Notamacropus eugenii: one gene and its partner. The main gene of each other region encodes a partner of the protein of the gene in region 2 in a complex. Links are inferred from orthologs where the notes say so. Each region holds a gene or a part of one and is shown on either strand. Other genes may lie near its edges. The genes, in order: FLT3LG and FLT3.

Region 1 (3,908 bases), about 180 Mb from region 2:
CCTCCAGGGGCTCTTTGTTTGTGGCCGCGGCCCAAGCCGGTGACCAGCCTCCAGATCCCGGTCTGAGGTCGGCCGGGGCATCTCCTGCCTTGCCCCGTCTCTGTCCACAGATTCCACCCAACAAAAGCTATTAGAAAACGTTTTATATACATCCTCAGAGCTTTGTACACAAGGTGGGCTGGCCCCAAGGTAGCCTGCAGGTACCCCTCTGGAGGAGGAAAAGGGGACCGCAGGCACCGCCTGGGGGGTCCCTTAGCCCCCCAGAAGAGAACGGTAACTCGAGCTCATCCAAGGAGAAGAGAATGAGGCCAGTCTTAAGCTGGGTTGCTTATGGAAGGCTTCCTCAGGAGGTAGCCCCAGCTCCCGGGTTTGGCCTTCAAGGTCGTCGTTCAAAGCACCATCAACTGTATATCCTGGCGGACAGAGTCTGGGGGGCCCTAGCCGCGGCCCCCAGGGGCAGAGTCAGCTGCTGTCTGTGCACATGGTGGGGGGCACCCGCTACCCCACCCACACCGAGTTGAGCCAAGCTCACCTGGGGTGTCTGGGACTTGGGGGATCCTGGTGGCCTCAACCGCCTCTTTCGTCGTTTGCACCACCAGGCAGCCACCACGATCAGCAGCAGAAATGGCAGCCCCCCCAGGGACAGCAGATGGAAGCTAGAGGACTGGGGTGGTCTCAGGGTGCTTCCCAGGGCCTCAAGACTGCCCGGTGAGGGGAGTGTGGAGACAGTAGAGGGCTCTGTGGGAAGGGAGAGGGGAGTACTAAGGAGAAGCTATGCCCTTTCCCTTTTGGAGCCCCAGTCCTCCTCCTGAAGGGAGGGGGTTCCCACCTGGACACCTCACCTGGCTGGCAGCGATACTGTTGGCAGGGCCGGAAGCTCTGGCGAGTAATGAGGGGCTGCAGGGCCCCCAAGTGTCTGGAGACATCCAGGAGGAGGTGAGAGATGTTGGCTTTACGGAAACGGAGGCAGCTGGGAAAGGACTGGGGAGCCGAGGAAGGGAGGTGGGGGGCGTCACACACCATACTAGTCCCCCCTTCTCAGAACCAGCCCTGGCAGCAGCTTGGGGCAACTGATGAAGGCCTCCTCATCCCTTTGTCTCCCAGCCAAGCTGCCCAGGCCTGAGACCACCACATCTCTTCATATAGCTGTGGTGGACCCAAAGACCTTGAGGAGGCAGAAGGCCCTTAGGATCAGGGACAGAGAGCAAGAGACTGACCTGGTTGATGCATTGACTGACAAAGTTGACCTCAGTGTACACAGCCTCCAGGGGGTCTTCCAACTTTTTCCCTGCCACCAGCTTCAGGTGCTCCAGGGTTTTCTTGGCCAAGGCCAAGTGCCACAGGGCCCAACACTGCTCATCCTAGGGAGAGATGCCTAGGTGTCTTAGTCCTTGAAGTAGGGATACCTGGGTCCACCCCTAATTCTCCTCCCCCCTCCCCCGCCCCCCGCCCCGCCTCACCCCCAGACTCACCACTTGGAGATTATCTGGGACATCCACTGGGTAATCCGTGAGCATGTAGTCAGACTGGAGGGAGAGATGGACATGAGAAATAAATCCAAAGGGTCAGAAACAGAGAGAGAGAACATTCAAGACCAAAACAGAGAGTCAGGGAGGGCAGTCAGAGGCAGCTCTCACCAAATCGGTGATGGCCTGGAGGAAGGTGGAGCTGATGGGACTGTCTGGGAAGGTGCAGGTATCATCGATACTGGCAGTGACTTCCTGGGGGAGCAGGAGGAGCAGGAGCAGCAGCCTGGAAGCCTGGGGTGTTGGGAAGACAGAGCTGGGGAGAGGCCCTGGGTCCCTTCCCCTAGATGGGCATTGATTCAGTACTCATTCTGTCTGGATGTATCTCCTTGACTCTGACCGCCTCCGTCGCCCTTTTGCCCCACCCCTGTGTCTCTTTGTCCTGTCTCCCCACTTCTGCCTTTACCTCCCTTTCTCCCTGAATCTTGCCATCCCTATCAGTGCTTGTCTCCCATGTCTCCCTTCTCTCATCCCTGTCCCTCCTGTCTCTCTGAGCCCTGCGTGACTCTGCCTCTTCTTTCCCTGACCCTGTTTCCCTTTCTCCTGTCTCTGCCTCCCTTTGTCCCCACCTGCCTTTCCTCATCACCGTCTGTCCCTGTTTTCCTCTCCCAACATTATCTCCATTCCCCTTGCTTACATCCTTGTCTCTTGTCTTTGTCCCTCCTGGTTGGCCATTGCTGTCTATCTGTCTTCCTTTCTCCTCATTACTGATAGTCCTACTCCCTCCCCTATCTCAGTCTTTTCCCCCATCTCTGCCTCCCATATCCCTGTCTCCATCTGTCAGGAATACGCACAGTGAGGGGCCAGGCTGGGGCTGGGACGGTCATCTTGAGTTGGGGCCCCTCATGCCGCTGCCGGGCCCTGGGGGGGACAGAGCCGGCTCAGCCAGGGACCCAGGCGTCCGGGTGCCCTCCCCCAGCCCCTTCATGTGGCTAAGTTTCCTCCCCCACCCTGTTTCCTGCCCCCGCCTCATTACTGTGAATCATGCCCAACCTTCCAGGAAGGCATCCCTTGCCTCAGTTCCCTTGGCAACGCAGGCACCCCCTTTCTCAAACCCCTTGGAGACCCAGGCATCGTCTCCCCCATCCTCTCTCCTCAGATAGCCAATCCCCCCAAAACCCTAATGGAGATCTAGGCAATCTATCTTAGCCCCATCAAGAACCTAGGCACTCCTTTCTCAGACCCCTTGGGGACCCAGGCTGCCCTCCTCTATCCCCTTTGGGACCCAGGCATTCTGCCCCAGCCCCGCACCAGGGTCCCTGTCCAGGCCGGGAAGGCCCAGGGCAGGTCTGGGCCCAGACATCAGAGATCGAAAGTGAAAGATGTTTTGGGGAAAAGTTTGGGAATCCATGGGGGAGGAGCCCTCTGGTGGCTTTGAGTTGAGCTGCAGGAGGCAGGGGACGCCTGGGTCCTTTCTTAGGCCTGAATCAGCTGGGAGTTTGGAGGTCTGGGTTGGAGCACTGGGTTGTAGCCTCTGCAGAGGCCCTACAACCCTGATCTATCAGATCTATCCAAGGCTCTCTCCTCTTCTGAGAAAGGACAGGGTTGGAATGGGGAATCTCTAAAAAACCCTTGGTGCTCTGAGGTTTTGAATCCAGAATGACAGTGCCCAAACAGGCACAGGGCGAAGGCCCAACTCAAGATGACCGTCCCAGCCCCAGCCTGGCCCCTCACTGTGCGTATTCCTGACAGATGGAGACGGGGATATGGGAGGCAGAGATAGGGGAAAAGATTGAGATAGGGGAGGGAGTAGGACTGCCAGTAATGAGGAGAAAGGAAGACAGATAGACAGCAATGGCCAACCAGGAGGGACAAAGACAAGAGACAGGGATGTAAGCAAGGGGAATGGAGATAATGTTGGGAGAGGAAAACAGGGACAGACGGTGATGAGGAAAGGCAGGTGGGGACAAAGGGAGGCAGAGACAGGAGAAAGGGAAACAGGGTCAGGGAAAGAAGAGGCAGAGTCACGCAGGGCTCAGAGAGACGGGAGGGACAGGGATGAGAGAAGGGAGACATGGGAGACAAGCACTGATAAGGATGGCAAGATTCAGGGAGAAAGGGTCAGAGAGACAGCTGGTGGAAGAGAAGAAACAGGAGAAGAAGAAATGGCATAGAGAGACAGACACAGAGATTCACTAAAAAAGTTGGGAGAGGGAGTAAAAGATGCAGTCAGAGAAGGGAAATGGGAACAGAGGCAGGTGAAAGAAGGTGCTACAGACTGACTGCCTTCCTATTATTTCACAGATGAAATAACCCTTGCTGTTTACCACTTCAAACCCTTCACACTACGCTGGTACATTGTTGGTGAAGCTGTCAAATGGTACAACTTTTTTATGAAAGCAGTCCGGAATCATGCAAATAAAGTGACTAAAATGTTCATAT
Region 2 (3,908 bases):
CTAAGACCCAGAGAGGCTTAATAACTTGTTCTACTTGACTTGAAATTCATGTGGATAGGGACTGAATTGTCTTTTTTATCTTAACCAAGACCTAGAGCATTGATCTGTAGATAACAAGCACTTAATGGATTTTTTTTTTCATTTATACGACTGCAAAGTGGAGGAGTCAGAATTACATCAGGTGTTTATTTGCTACACTGTGTGTTGAATTCTCATACAAATTAGAAAATCACATTCAATTTACAGTTTTCTGATCCCACAGCATAGCATAGATAACCCAACCATAGTTTCTAATTTACTTTGGAATGTATGCAGCTCATGATTTTATTTTATAGGGAAGGGGCAAAGATTTTCCTTTCTAGTTGTATTTAGCTGTCTTCCTTGAATGCTGTTTTTCCTAGCAGCCCAGAGGCACAGTGAAAAGAGCACAGGCTCTGAAGTCAGAGACCCTGCATTTAAATCCTGCACGCGAAGTTTACTACCTGTGTGATCCTGTGCAAATTGTTTCAACCCCCACCACTTCAGTTTTCAATGAAAAGTGTTTTACACACATTATTTTAGTCTCACAACAACTCTTTGAAGTAGATAATATAGATAATTTAAAGGTGAGGAAACAAAGTCTCAGAGAAATACTTATGGTTACAGAGTTAATAAGTATCAGAATACGATTTAGACCTGGGTTTCCCTGACTCCAACTCCATCATGATAGGCTAAACATTCACTTCGTGGCCCACCACGAAAGTACCAGCTCCTTTACAGAGAAACCAGAAATAGTAGTATTAATGTATAGTGATGGATTCGAAGTCAGAAAGATCTAGTTTCAAATCCTGCCTTTGGTATTCTCTGTATGACCACTGGCAAGTCCCTTTGCCTCTATGAGTCTCGATTTTCTCAAAATGGGGATAATCGATACCTGTCATAGAGTGGTTATGAGGCGCATCTGGGATACTGTATATAAGTATGCAAACTTTAAAGCCGCGCCCACAGTCTCCCCATGCCAGCGCCACTTTCTTTGCACTTGGGGCTCTGCCGGGCAGGTCGGACACTTCCCCCAGCAAAGTATTTCCAACTCTCAACTCCAGCTGCATCCCTCCTGGTCCAGCCCCTGGGCTCTGCACGCGGTCCTTACAAGAAGCACCAGTACAGCAGGGTTTCCCCCACTCCTCTTCTTTGCAGCAGTTACGAGGGAATTTGTGGTTGGTGACGCGCAGCCTTAAGAGCCACCTGCAGCGCTTGGCGCGCCAGACTGGGGAGGGATCTGCGGGCTGCGGGCCCGCAGCCGCCGGCCTGGGGGACCCCTGTGGCACGGGAGGCCATGCTGGTGTTCGGGCTCCACGGCGGCCGCGGCCAGCTCCGACTACTTGGTAAGGACCTCCCCTAGCAGAGCCACGGTCTCAGCCTCCTTCCTTCGCGCTCCCTCCTTCCTTCGCTCCACCGCCGCTGGCTCTCCTTTCTTTCCCTCCTGCCCACTTTTTGCCTGCCTCCCCAGTCCCATGCGCACTCTCTCTCCAGCTCCATTTTGCGCTCTCTTTCAATCGCTTTGCACCACTCCTTTGCCTTCCTTTCTTCCCCGATTTTCTGGCGTCTTCCTTGCCCCTCCTCTTTTTCATCTGACCCTCCTCATCCGGCCTTCTCCTTCCCCCTCCAATCGCTTCGAACTTTTCCTCCGTTTCTTGCTTTTCGCTTTCGTTCATTCCTTTTCCTTCCTCTGGAACTCACGCCTCTTGCTCTTTCTTCCATCCCTAAACGGCGTACTCTGTTTCCCGGCCATCTCTTCTCAAGTCTCGTCCCGTTGAACTCCCCCCATCCCCCGTCAGTCCCCAGAGAAACTCCCATTTCTCCCGGGTCCATACCCGCCTGGGGGCACTGTGTGGCCGCGGGAGTTTGGCGTCCGGGGTCTGATGGGAGAAATCGGACTCCGAGGTTGGGGTGAGCTGGCAGCTGATGGTTTAGTTGTGGACTTCATGGGAGAGTACAACGGGGAGGTGCGCAGGGGCATCCGTCTCTCCCTGATGGTTTTGGTAATGGAACGAACTGTGGGGGAAAACACGCTCTCAGCACTCTTTCACCCTGACCAAAAAATTCTTCCAAAAAAAAAAAAAGATTCGAAAAACAATTATCAGACAGTGAAAACACTTTGTTTAAATAGAAATTTAAAAGTATACAATTATAATTTAAGTACTAAATTATTGTTTCTCCAAATATCAGTAGTTTTACTCGAGCTAGGTGAAGCAGCTGTAATGGAAAGGGTTTGGAGTTGGTTTTGAATCTTCTTCTATCTGACTGTTAATCTCTTAATTTTTCTGGATCTCAATTTCCTCATCTGTAAAGTAAGGATGTTGGACTAGACTAGACCATTTCCAAAGTTTTTTGCAGCTTTAAAATACAGGTTTTAGATGAAAGCTTCTTTTAATGACCTTGAGGTCTGTATTTCGAAACACCCCCCCCCCCCCCAACTTTGTTTCTGTCACTTTCCTCAGAAAACTGTGAAAATCTACCAAAATCTTTTTCCAATCTATCCCAAACCTCAGCAGTTAAAAACTCAGGTTGAGACCCTAGAGAAAGGAAGAGAGCTACTGACTAACTCTGCCCTCAAAGCTTACTGGGGGCCCCACCCTGTTCAATAAAAGATTTGCTGCATTAAAATGCTTCTTGGGAGTGAGATGAATTAATTATTCCAGAACATCTGGATTCAAGTCAACAAATGCTAAGTGATTATTAAGCCGTTGTGTTGTAGAGTGGACAAGGGGTTTGTTTTACTCAGAAGCTCTATCTACTCAATTCTTATATAGTGCAAAGAGCATTTGTTATCAGAAAGCATTTGTTGCAGTCCTGTCTCTGACTTATAGTAATTGTGTAACCATGGGAAAGTCACTTAACTTCTTAATGTCCCAGAAAATTCTCTTAAAAAAAACTATTAAATTAGAGATGAATTGCCAATCTGCATAGATGGATGGAATTTGCACACTGGGATTTAGCCATATCAATAAAATCATAAGTCCAGACCAATTGACAATAACAACAGCTACTACTACTACTACCAGTATCACTACCACCACCACCACCACTACTACTACTACTACATGCCAGCCTTTGTGATCACTTTGTGGGGGTTCAAAATAGTAGCCTTTGTTCTCAAGGACCTTAAAATCTAATTGGGAAGAAGGGTAGTAAGATATGCACAAAGACTGAAGTTAGAAAAATGATTAAGTGCATAATGGAATGGACTGTGATTTAAGAAAGGAAGAATTATGTGTAGTTGAACTCTGGCCTCGGAATGTGAGCAGTCAGAAAGAGAAATGAGGAAGCGTGTGATACTTGATTTTGGTCTGGGGCCTTGAAGGAGAAGGATTTCCATAGTTGGAGATATGGAAAAGGTACATAAAACTATAAGGCAAATTGTAGCCAAATTGGAATTTATATTTTATATACAGGATAGCAGAATATTAGAGCTAAAAGGGACCTTAGATCATTGAGATCCTCATTTTATAAATAAAGAAACTGAGGCTCAGAAAAATAGTGATTTGCTTAAGGTCATCCAAGTAGTATAAGGCAGAACTAGGACTCCCATATAAGTCTTTTGACTGCTTTCCTTTCCACAGTACTAAGATTGAGTAGGTAGGTAGTAGTGAGCTGCTGAGAGTCTTTGATCTAGGGAATGATGTGATCTGACCAATGCATTAAAAAGATTTGGAGACTGTTTATAATTCTTGGGAATAAGCCATTTATAGAAATTTTTCCTTGAATAAATTAATTGGCCATGTTTTGCTTTTACAAAGTAAAAATGAGTTGAAATCCAGTCTTAGACACTTAATAGTTATGTAACTCTGGGCAAGTCACTTAACCTTTATTTGCCTCAGTTTCCTCAACTGTAAAATGGAAAACCATAAAAGTTCAAGTTGGAAGAT

The links.
Region 1: the proteins of FLT3 (region 2) and FLT3LG are in contact, whole or in part, in a crystal structure (PDB 7QDP), measured with the Homo sapiens proteins. The link is inferred for Notamacropus eugenii from reciprocal best matches to the Homo sapiens genes FLT3 and FLT3LG. Residues at the interface, in NP_004110.2 of Homo sapiens: Asp180, His279, Gly280, Phe281, Gly282, Met300, Ser301, Thr302, Tyr303, Asn306, Arg307, Met309, Arg311, Ser333; in NP_001191431.1 of Homo sapiens: His34, Ser35, Pro36, Ile37, Ser38, Ser39, Asp40, Lys44, Lys87, Glu99, Asn102, Thr103, Glu104, His106, Phe107.

Annotation. Positions count from the first base shown.
Region 1 is NC_092876.1:12,260,091-12,263,998, forward strand, and holds FLT3LG (fms-related tyrosine kinase 3 ligand), read right to left. Parts: upstream 2,861-3,908; 5' UTR 2,778-2,860; exon of another isoform or gene 2,689-2,777; intron 2,584-2,688; exon of another isoform or gene 2,520-2,583; intron 2,388-2,519; 5' UTR 2,354-2,387; coding exon 2,321-2,353; intron 1,761-2,320; coding exon 1,638-1,760; intron 1,527-1,637; coding exon 1,473-1,526; intron 1,362-1,472; coding exon 1,218-1,361; intron 982-1,217; coding exon 843-981; intron 739-842; coding exon 401-738; downstream 1-400. UniProt on the Homo sapiens protein: Stimulates the proliferation of early hematopoietic cells by activating FLT3. Synergizes well with a number of other colony stimulating factors and interleukins. Required for the development of B cells, and dendritic cells (DCs).
Region 2 is NC_092876.1:196,314,085-196,317,992, reverse strand, and holds the start of FLT3 (receptor-type tyrosine-protein kinase FLT3), read left to right. Parts: upstream 1-1,015; 5' UTR 1,016-1,315; coding exon 1,316-1,364; intron 1,365-3,908. UniProt on the Homo sapiens protein: Tyrosine-protein kinase that acts as a cell-surface receptor for the cytokine FLT3LG and regulates differentiation, proliferation and survival of hematopoietic progenitor cells and of dendritic cells.